Linked DNA regions of Cricetulus griseus. The protein of the gene in region 1 purifies or fractionates together with the protein of each later gene. This does not show direct contact. Links are inferred from orthologs where the notes say so. Each region holds a gene or a part of one and is shown on either strand. Other genes may lie near its edges. The genes, in order: Tnrc6a, Cnot7 and protein argonaute-3.

Region 1 (3,652 bases):
GAAGTACCATTATCCACAGTCGTGGCAGGAGTAGAAGGCTCTCCCCAGGGCTCACCCCAGCCTTTAGGAAGTGTGGGAAAAGAAGTCATCAGCATGCATATAAGGAAACACAGCAAATAAGGAAGTATTTAGTAAACCAAATGAAGAACTTCACATTCATATACTGAATAATGACGCTGTGACAAGCATGAGGCATAAATTATTCTGCACTAATATAATTTAACTGTATAATGTTTAACCTTTTCTTTCAAAACTGCCTTCTGATGCTAGGGCAGATTCTTTTGAATAATTCAATTACTACGGCAAATTATCTTCCTTTGAGGATGAAGTTAGTATCTAAAAATACAAGTTCTTCTGAACCTGAGCAGGCGTGGGGTGAAGGGTTCTACTAGGCACACCTTACTGAAAGGACACCCTTCCCACAGCACTGTAATGGAGAACAACTGACTATACAACTACCAACAGGCAAGCAACCTACTCTATACACACTGGATAATGTTCATTTAAATGTACCCAGGAAAAAAGGTGTACACAATTACATTGAGGATGTCTAAACGTTCCCCCCACCATGCAAAAAGCCACAAAAAAATTTGTTTAAAGAATGAAAACAAAGATGCCTGCCCTAAAAGTTAAACATAAATCAACAGCCTAGACTCATATTTAAAAAACAAACCACAATTAAGTACCAAAAGAATTCATCAAAACATTGCCACTTCTCTGTCCAATGAAACATTACTCAACAAAACTCCCATTAACAAAGGAAATATTAGCCTGTAACATTTACAGAAAATGTTGTCGTATCAATTTACACAGAAAAGAATTTGCTCAGTATAGGAGAGGACTATACTGGAAAGATACAGTGCACTGTTTTAGGCACACACACTATATCCACTGTTATCTGAGTAGATGTGGACTTCTAATCTAGAATTTAGATGTCTAATTTAGAAAAATCCTCTAAAGTCAAAGACCAAATATCTACCAGTACTGTATTCAGGCACTTGGCTTCACTGTATTTCAGTAATAAAACCAAACAGTTAAGTCTTGACTCAGAATAACTGAAAGACGTATGTAATATTGCCACCTAACCCCGTCTACATTCCTAACAGAGTACTAAGATTCACAGCAACACTGCCTGGTGAAAACAACCGACTCTCGGAGCACAGCTGAAAGGCCTCCATGTGCATATCCAAGTGCTCTGCTAAACAAATCCTATGACAGCATGTCAACACAAAGCTTGCTTCCAGAGTACTACTGGACTCCAAAGATGAACACTTACCAGAGCCACTGCTTGCCTCCTTGCTTGAGACAGTGTTTGCAGATGGCAGCAACCGATGCATCTGTGCTTGCTGGTCTGAGCGGCTGCTGCCATCTGGGATGTTTTTATTCCACATGTTCACATTTTTGTAGTTGTATTTGCTCGGATCTCCCCAAGCTGAAGTTCCATCGTCAATCTCCATTTTTCGTCGTATAGATTCTGGGGATGGCTCCTCCCAGCCTGTGGGTTCTTCCTCCTTTGTTGGAGCTGGAATAGGTCCTCCTAGCCAGCCTGTACCAGGAGGCTTGCCAGTGGCTGGTGGGATTCCCCACGATCCAACAATGTCTTGTTGCTTGTTCCAATCTGGAGAACTAACTGGTTTTGATGAATCTCCCCAACCGAGAGACTGATTACACTTTGGAGGGTCTCCCCATCCCTGGGAAGAATTAGGTTTAGAAGAGTCATCCCATCCTGATGAATTATTTGGATTTATATTATTTCCCCAAGTAAAAGAACTAGTTTTACCAAGTTCATTCCAACCAGAAATGGACCTGTCACTGTCACTACCTCCTGAGCTGGATTTCTTATTAGTCTCACCCCAATGGTTACTCCTGGAAGTTTCTCCCCAGTTATCACTGGCAGAAATGGACCAACCTTGGTTTGACTTTTGTCCATCACCCCACCCTTGTTTGTTCTTTTGCGAATCATTCCATGCAGACTTCTCTTCTTTGCAATTCCCCCACTGATTGCTCTTGATCATTCCTGTAGCAGCAGAATCATCTTCCCACCCCCCCTGGCAGTTTGAGCCTTTGGAATCTCCCCACCTCAGAGTAGGTTTGGGATCACCCCACCCTGATACAGATGAGGTATCATTACTATTAGGGCTAGTCTTATCTATACATGCCCCTGAGTTAAAAGTCTGTGTTGCAGAGCTTCCCCAGGCCTCTGTCCCATTGTCAGTCTTTCTTTCCCCTCTTGGTGATGTCTCTGTATCCCAGGCAGTATTCTGCTTAATAGGAGTCTGTCCCCAACCAGAGTTGGATAGGACACGTGGATCTAAGTCAGTTCTGTTTACAATGCTTTGGAGTAATGTGTGCTGATCAATTTTTCTTCTATCTCTACTCTGACTTTCCCCAGTTACTTTTTCATCAAGGCGTCCAGTGCTCTCGGTACTACCATCACTCTCCACTGTGCCTCCTGTTTTGGCCCACACACTGTTTTGCTCATTTGTCTGAGACGTGGCAGAACCCTGATCCTCTTCCTCAGTAGATTTCCATCCATTTGTAAACTTCTTACCATTGCCATTTGCACTATCATTGGAATGCTGATTGCTAGGCAGTTTGTTCCATTCAACACTGGGTAGACTAGTGCCAGTGTTCTGTGCAGGACTTCCCCATCCTCTTCGACTTCCTCCAGAATTCGCACCATTTCCACTTCCCCATGGTGAACTCTGGGAATTTGTTGTCCCAGGCTCCCATACACCTCCCCCTTTATTTGTGTTAATTTGAAAGTTAGTGCCCATAGGCCCATTTATGCCAGGCTGCATTAGAGTTGCATTCACAGTGTCACCATTGGCTTGGCCATTAGGGCCTGCACATTTGTCGCCAGAGTAATTAGAACCATAGGCACCCCATGTAGTACCGTAGGAGCCTCCAGTTTTTGACTCTCCATTGCTAAGGTGAGAAAGGGAAGTGCCATTCATAACTGACGGAGCCTGTATCTGAGGATGATTCATTGTGCTCACACGCCAGGCCCCTGGATTACTAGTAGGCAGTTCATTATTCTGTACTGAACCGGAGTTTGGTAAACTAGAGGTCATAAAGTTAGTAGTGTTATTTGGTCCAGTTGTTTCAGTGGTGATATTCTGAGGTTGACCACTGAACGAAACCTTCTGTGTACCACTTACTTCAGGGTCACAAGTTTCCTGAAGGCTGCCCCAGGTACCATGGGTAGAAGAGCCACTGACTTTAGAGTTGATACTCTGATTGTTAGGCATCTGGCCTATGGTACTACACTGAATATTGATGCCAGAACTCCCACTCCCTACAGGCCCTTTTAGGGCAAGTCCATTGTTTTCTAATACTGGCCAGGCACCATGGTTGCTAGCTGAATTCAAAGTGCTTGGATTTAACCCTCCATTTGATGAAGAACTTACAGTGCCCCAAGCATTCATTCTATTGTTACTACTTTCTGATTTGCTTTCAGGAGCATCCACAGAGACCTGACATGTGCTTATTATGGCTCCATGGGGGAAGCCCCATGGCCCAGTACTACTTCCATGGCCTACATTATTGCTGCTGCTACCAACCACAAACTTGCTTTGAGAACTGAGTCCAGTGCTATTCCGAAGGCCATCTTTTTCACCACCTGTGTTCCCTGAAGCCATGACAGTGATGT
Region 2 (3,652 bases), on another chromosome or scaffold:
TGTGCTGTTTTCTGGCTTAAGTAAAATTTTGAAGAGCTGGTTTATGGTTAGGTTTCTTGGCTTGGTTTTTAGAAGGTAGTCTTCTAGGATTGTGTTTGCCTCTGATGTAGGTATGTTATTGCTGGAGGAAGAACCTGCTGAGTCCTTAATTCTGAAGAGTTTACTGCTTAATAGAGCCACAGAAAGGCTCCTCATTTGTGAAAGGAGGCATCTCGTTTTTCTTTAAGATGGAATATAGTTTAACTCAGCCACAAGAGATGTTTGCCACTTGGTGTCTCCTTCCTGGTTCTGCTGAGAGCATGAGAGGTGTGAAAACCCCTCATAGCTGTGGCTGCAGCTCCATCTGGCAGCACTAACCTAGCTGCAGAGATTGAGAGCCTCTGAACAGAGCATGTCTGTGGTAGCCTCTGGTGAGTAAAAGACCCTTTGTAAGCCAGGGAAATGCATATGATGTGTAGATACTAATGGAATTGAGTTGATGCTAAGGGACTCACCACTGGACTATTGTGAATGATTATTTACTTTTGGATACTTTACATTTTGTTTCTCTTAAGAGTTGTAAGCATTTGGATAGTTGGACATAAACCAATCATGTCTGTTTGTGCACTATAGTTGTAGGTGTAAGTGGGAGAATGGCTGTTTAATGGTGGTCTTGAACATTATTTTTCTCTTTCTCCTGCCAGGGAGGACATGTATGCTCAGGACTCTATAGAGCTACTAACAACATCTGGTATCCAGTTTAAAAAACACGAGGAGGAAGGAATTGAGACCCAGTACTTTGCAGAACTTCTTATGACTTCAGGAGTGGTTCTTTGTGAAGGGGTCAAATGGTTGTCATTTCATAGGTAAATAAATAAACAGATTGCAGTGTGTTTCCCTCCTATCTCTTGTTTATACTTGATTGAGTCTCTGTATCAGAAATTCTATGCTTAGTTCTAAAAACATGTTAGTTAACTACCATGAGAGACTGTCTTATGCCTCACTTGAGAATAACCTTGTTTGTTTACATTACCTCTTAGCAAGGATTTGTTTTAGCCTTTGAGAGGTAATGGTGCTTAGTGGAAAGAATATAAGCAAGAAGAAACCTTCAGTGAAACCTGGCAAAGCCATTGAGGATTTGTGTCACCCATGGTTCTTAATAAATTTAAACATTAGTTTTTGTATTTATAGAAAGAAAGCCGTTTTTTAAAAGCTTAGTAGTACTTTCCTGATCTTAGCTACTGTACTAAGATTCTAAAACTTAATACAACAGATTAAATTTTTCCTTCCTAGGTAGTTTCCTTTCTGCTGAAGGTAAACCAATACTTTTTGACCTAATTTCTAGTGTGGTTTGTTACATAATAATAAGTTCTATGAAAAACAACTGATAACAGAGAATTCAAAGAAGGGATATTAGGGGATTTTTAATTATATTTTTGGATGAGGTGATTGGGAAGGCTATCCTTAAGGAAAAACATCTTGTAGATGTTTCTCAGTAGTCAATTATAACCTATTTAAAGCATCTAGTATTTTATATACTCTGTATATGATTACTTTTAATTCTTTATTATTATAAAATAAAACTAGATAGTTAAAGTTTCTACGAGGAAGTTAATTCACCTTTTTAAAAGTTAATTTATTTGTATGTGTGAGAAAATGTTTTTCTTTATAAATCAGCTGATTTGGCAGTTCTGGAACTAAAAGTGACCTTTGATGTTATGGGTTTGATTTTTTTTTTAATTAATTTGACTATTTGATAATAGGGTTTCTGTCTCTATTTGAAAAGTACTGTGTTGCTGGACATAGTGACACACATCTTTAACTCAAGCCAGTCAGAGCTATACAATCAGACCCTTTCTCAAAAAACAAAAACACACAACAACAACAGCAAAGCAACAATGTGTTACTCTGGTCTTAGTGCTCTTTTTTTTTTTTTTTTTTTTTTTTTTTTTTTTTTTTTTTTTTATTGAGAAGAGTTATTGGGGGAAGGGAGAGAGGAGACGAAAAGAGAGAGACAGACAGATCTGCCTGTCTCTTCAGAGGAATGGTAGAAAGAGACATTTGTTTGTTTGTTTGTTTTTCCAGACAGGGTTTCTCTGTGTAGTTTGGAGCCTATACTGGAACTCACTCTGTAGACCAGGCTGGCCTTGAACTCACAGAGATCTGCCTGCCTCTGCCTCCCAATGCTGGTATTAAAGGCATGTGCCACCACCGCCCCAGATCTTACTGCTCTTAATCTTGATAGGCTTCATACTTTTTTTTTTTCCGATAAGAATCTTCCACAGGAAATGATTATAATGTTGGATGGTTCCTGAAGTAGACCTTGATGTGGTATTATATAGTGAGTTTTAAGTTGTAAGTTCTGAATGGAGAGATGGATCAGAGGTTAAGAGCACTGGCTGCTCCTCCAGAGGTCCTGAGTTCAATTCCCAGCAACCACATGGTGGCTCACAACCATCTATAATGAGACCTGGTGCCCTCTTCTGCATGCAGGCAGAACATTGTATACATAATAAATGAAGCTTTAAAAAAGAAAGAAGAATTCTCATATACTAACTTTTATCTATGTTCATACTTATAAAGATACAAAATAACCAATTCTTTTAGTTTATACTGTATAACACATCCACTGACTCAAACAATATTTTGAATAAGTACTATTGACTCAGAACTGGGGGTAGCAAAATGGACAAAACCAAGCAGGGTTCATGTTTTATTCAACATTTTAGTCTACATTAGTGTACAGTATATGTATGTATAAAACTATAAAATTATTCCATTAAACATCACAAATATTTTCCATATTCTAATCTGTTTTTATTAATATTTTTGGAAATAATAAATCTTGCCAGTCATGGTACCTTTAATCCTAGTACTTAGGAGGCAGAGGCAGGTAGATCTCTGGAGTTCAGGCCATCCTAATCTCCATAGTAACTTCCAGCCCAGCCAGAGCTACATAGTAAAACCCAGTCAAAAAACATGGATAAGTAAATTATACATATATATGTCTACATATGTATGTGTGTGTATATATAGTGTGTGTGTGTATTCTAAACTGAAATATTTTGCTAGAAGTAAGCAAAAGCCATTGTGCTGTTGTTTAGGTAACTTGGCAAGGTCATTTCTTTGAAAACTAACAAATGTAAGTTTTCTTCTCTTAGGTACTTGTATTAAAGATCTTGTATGGTAAACAACTCCCCTTTCAAATTCAAAGTAAATAGAATCAAATTAAAGTTTTATTTTGTGTCTCCTCCAAAAGAGAAGTCATTTGCCAATTAAGAGTTCAAATTATATGCAAGGGAAAGATACTTTATAACTCTGAGTCCTGTCCTTTAAACTAGTGGAGAAAATCCATGTACCTAAAGGTCAGGACCAGCAAATATATGTGGTATGAAAAATCTCTGGGAATCGGACACTTCAGGGAAGGCGGGCTGTCGCAGGCCTAATAGAAAGTTGTATCTTAAGGAGTTCAGGAGTGGAGGAAACTAGGCATCTGTGGAAAGACTAGTGATAAGGTTGTATGCTCTCAATTTGAGATAGCAGGAGGTTGTATCATGTGGAGAAAAAACAGTTTTCACTTTTTCTTTGTTCCTACCTTTCATGTTTAATATCTGTTGATAATATCTCTTGGAGAATTATACTATGTGAAAACAACAATTGAGGAATTTTGCAT
Region 3 (3,752 bases), on another chromosome or scaffold:
CCATCATAAAATTATTATACTTGTATTTAATGTCCTCTATTGCACTAAATAAAATTAAGATTTCTGTGTATCCACATAATAAACAATCTGTCGGTAAATGATTCCTGAGAATCTCCATACAAAAGAAAAACAGAATTTGAGAACCAAAAGTTTCAGTACTAACCTAACAGACTATTAAAGAATATCTAATTGTTTTGTTTTGTTTTGTTTTGTTGAGACAGAGTTTCTCTGTATAGCTTTGGAGCCTGTTCTGGAACTCACTCTGTAGACCAGGCTGATATTGAATTCACAAAGAACCGCCTGCCTCTGCCTCTGCCTTCCAAGTAGTGGGGTTAAAGACATGTGCCACAATGACTAGCCCAAAGAACCATTTTTGATGGTAACAGTCTTGCTCCTGATGCCAGACAACAGTCAATCATGCATAAACCTTATTGAAGAATGACTTTTATGTTTCAAGATGACCAAGCATGGTTGATAAACTGTTTTGTTTTAATTTTAGTTAGTTTGTTTGTTTGAGACAGGGTCTCATTATGTAGCCCCGGCTAGCCTGGAACTCTTTATGTAGACCAGGCTGGCCTCCAACTCAAAGAGATTGAACCATCTCTGCCTCCTGAGTGCTGGGACCAAAGTGTGAGCCACTATGCCATGCTAGTTAACTATATCTACCCTTATGTGAAGACTCATCAATTGTTCTATATTCTATCAGAAGAACACCCCAAAGGAAAAGGTAAAATTGATTTTCTGAACCAGGCTTTGCTAACTGTATCAGCTGACTAGGTGGTCTGATATCACAAGTACTTTCTAGATCGTATTTTCACATGAAAAACCTAAAGGGGGAATACCTCATTAGGGGGAGATATCTTCAAAAGTTTTAGGTAGATGATTAACAAAATATTTAATTTCATATTTGGTTTTTCAGGCTTAACAATAGAGTAGTTATGTAAAAGTCAGATCTCTGGAAATAATCAGATATCTTATAAAGTAAGAAAAGTACAAATAAAATGTAAAATTTAAGAACAAAGAAAAGACAATGGAAATACACAAATTGATAATAAGAGTCTAAAACTTCAGTCTAGACAAATTTTGCTTTTTAGAAAAATATGGAGAAGAGAAGCCGGGCATTGGTGGCACATGCCTTTAATCCCAGCACTCGGGAGGCAGAGGCAGGCGGATCTCTGTGGGTTCGAGATCAGCCTGGTCTACAAGAGCTAATTCCAGGACAGCCCCCAAAGCCACAGAGAAACCCTGTCTCGAAAAACCAAAAAAAAAAAAAAAAAAAAAAAAAAAAAAAAAAAAAAAAAAAAAGAAAGAAAGAAAGAGAGAAGAGAAAAAATGGAACATAAAGGGAAAAATGGTAGAAACAGAGTAGAAAGAGATTCCATGTAATCCAGAAAATGCCTTTTTGTATCCATTTTGACAATTATGTCACTAGTTTGTTTTTTTTTACATTAGTTTACATTACATATTTGGGGACTTTCAAATTGGCAAGGGAAGATATGAAATTCAGGGATTTGTTATACAATAATAACAAGGCAATCCCCCCAAATATTATAGAAACTATACCATTACTGATCTTGTGGATGAAGAGAACTTTCAAATTTAGGGAACAAGGGTGATTACTTGGTAAGCAAACCGTTATGTAACACCTATTTCTTGTTGCTTTATCAGTTACTTCAGAATCGCTGACCTTTCTTTCTTTCTTTCCCTCTCTCTCTCTCTCTCTCTCTCTCTCTCTCTCTCTCGTCTCTCTCTCTCTCTCTCTCTCTCTCTCTCTCTCTCTCCTCTCTTTCTTTCTTAGGACAAGTACTGTCCAGGCTGGCTTCCTTTCTCAAGGCTGCCATTTTTCTCTCCAGAGACAAAACCGTTTTCCTACACCCCAGATTTCCAGGTATGTGGACAACTGCTGCCGTAGGGAACAGAAAATCGGGGGAAACAGTGCCAACATTCTGAAGATCTACCTTCTCACATAAGTGGTGATCCAGACCGAGAGGACCTCGCCAAGCTCCTCGGAAAACTACATACCACACTGCCACAGACAGAGTGAGTCTGGGGATGCAAGCAATGCCGTCCTGCATCTGACTTAAACTTAAGCCCATCGGTGATCTCAGAATACCTTCAGACTACTTTAAGAGGTAGAAAAGGGGACTGACTATCCAGCCTACATGGGACGCGCGACCCGGCTAAGGGATAAGCGCTGCCTTGACGTTTCCAAATGGAATTACAAAAGCAAGGGCAAACTCCTCTGTATCCTCAGGGGAGAAGAAGCACTCCAGGGGGATGACATCGCCTAGATAAACCCAAACTTAAACCCTCCTGGTAGTTTTGCCAACTCAGTGGCCCCGGGAGGGTAGCTGCGGTGCTGTGGAGAAGCCAGCGGCGTTGGGCCCGAAAACCAACGGCTCCCTTAATGAAGGCGCAAGGATGCTCGGGGGACGACCGTTGGGTGACGACCCTACCTGCCCCGTCCGGCAGCCCCGACTTACCTGCGGAGCCGATTTCCATTCATGGAGCTGGGGGCAGTGCTTCACGAGAGAACGGTGCGGCCACTGAGGCGAGGAAGGGGCGCCCTGCGAAAGCTCAGGGCAGAAGAGCCACTGTCGGGAGACAGCCCGCAGCTAGGCGAGAACAGAGAGAGGCGTGAGGCGAGGACGCTGAAGCCCGGTCCGGAACTTGCGTCGCACACGGTTGCTGACGCGTGCACAGCTCCCCAAACCGCCGGCCACCGCCGTTGCTCGCTCTCCCGGGTTGCCCCCGGAAGCCCGCCCGCGTCAGTTCCGCTCCCCGGACCGTGCCCCGCTCGCGGGGTCCGCAACTCGCCTGGAGCCGGATCTGTGCGGTGACAACGTCCGAGCCGGCCTGGCCAGCGCATGGAGGACTCTGGGGAGGTGTGGGAGGGTGAGCGAGCGGGTGACAGGCCGGGGCGGAGCCGTGAGAGCGCGGCCGCCCAGCACCCGCTGTGCCTGACGGTGACAATCCCGAGCCAGAGGCCAGCCTCCCCCGTGACAGCCTTCCAGGCGGGGACCGGTCGGGGCCGCTGCCTGAGGCGACGTCACTGCCAGCCCCGAGGAGCTTACCTGAGGGACAGTTCTACCTGAGAATGACAGATGACCATCCAAGGACATCCTCCCTCCTAGCTCCGCCTGCCACGCCCGCTCTGAGCACAAGTACTAGGCGGTAACCACAAGAGATTTCGCTAAGTACCCGAGGTTGCTTTGACAACTTTTTTTTTTTTAAAGATGGTTAAAATAAATTCAATGTAGTTTTAAAACAGAAGACTAAGAAACAGGACATTACATAGAGTACAAGAAGGAATCATTTCTGTGTTTAAACACTCTCCTAATCCCCTTGAAGAACATAAACTCCCTTCTGGCGTTAAAGCACCTGGCTAAGGAGCCAAGGCCTTTTCCCTCTGGACCCCTCAAGACTGTATTAGACTAAGCTGGTCCACTTCCAGCTCCCCCGACCTGGTCAGGTGCTTTTCTGCTGAATTGGAGCCTTTGGGTTCCCTTGGCCAGGAATTCTCCCTTTCCCATCCCATGCCAAACTTTCACTTAAGTCATCTCCGGTGGCCTTTCCTGGACACTGGTCTACCCGATCTGTAGGATGTGGACTACTTTTTGACCTGCCTCCAACCCATCAGAATCGGAGGCCAGATCCAGCACATGCAAGCAGACCATCCTTTTAAAATTACTTAGCTTAGTGAAAACAGATACTATTTTATGCAGGCTTAGCAGTGACTCATTATTTTCCCT

Evidence for each region.
Region 2: the proteins of Tnrc6a (region 1) and Cnot7 purify together in Homo sapiens (affinity purification with western blotting; 3 studies listed by BioGRID and IntAct, with this or other methods). This does not show direct contact. The link is inferred for Cricetulus griseus from reciprocal best matches to the Homo sapiens genes TNRC6A and CNOT7.
Region 3: the proteins of Tnrc6a (region 1) and protein argonaute-3 purify together in Homo sapiens (affinity purification with mass spectrometry; 7 studies listed by BioGRID and IntAct, with this or other methods). This does not show direct contact. The link is inferred for Cricetulus griseus from reciprocal best matches to the Homo sapiens genes TNRC6A and AGO3.

Annotation. Positions count from the first base shown.
Region 1 is NC_048596.1:77,543,398-77,547,049, forward strand, and holds part of Tnrc6a (trinucleotide repeat-containing gene 6A protein), read right to left. Parts: coding exon 1,277-3,652; intron 62-1,276; coding exon 1-61.
Region 2 is NW_023276807.1:45,222,961-45,226,612, forward strand, and holds part of Cnot7 (CCR4-NOT transcription complex subunit 7), read left to right. Parts: exon of another isoform or gene 1-410; intron 411-683; coding exon 684-845; intron 846-3,652. UniProt on the Homo sapiens protein: Has 3'-5' poly(A) exoribonuclease activity for synthetic poly(A) RNA substrate. Its function seems to be partially redundant with that of CNOT8.
Region 3 is NC_048595.1:26,617,065-26,620,816, reverse strand, and holds the start of protein argonaute-3, read right to left. Parts: upstream 2,691-3,752; 5' UTR 2,503-2,690; coding exon 2,484-2,502; intron 1-2,483.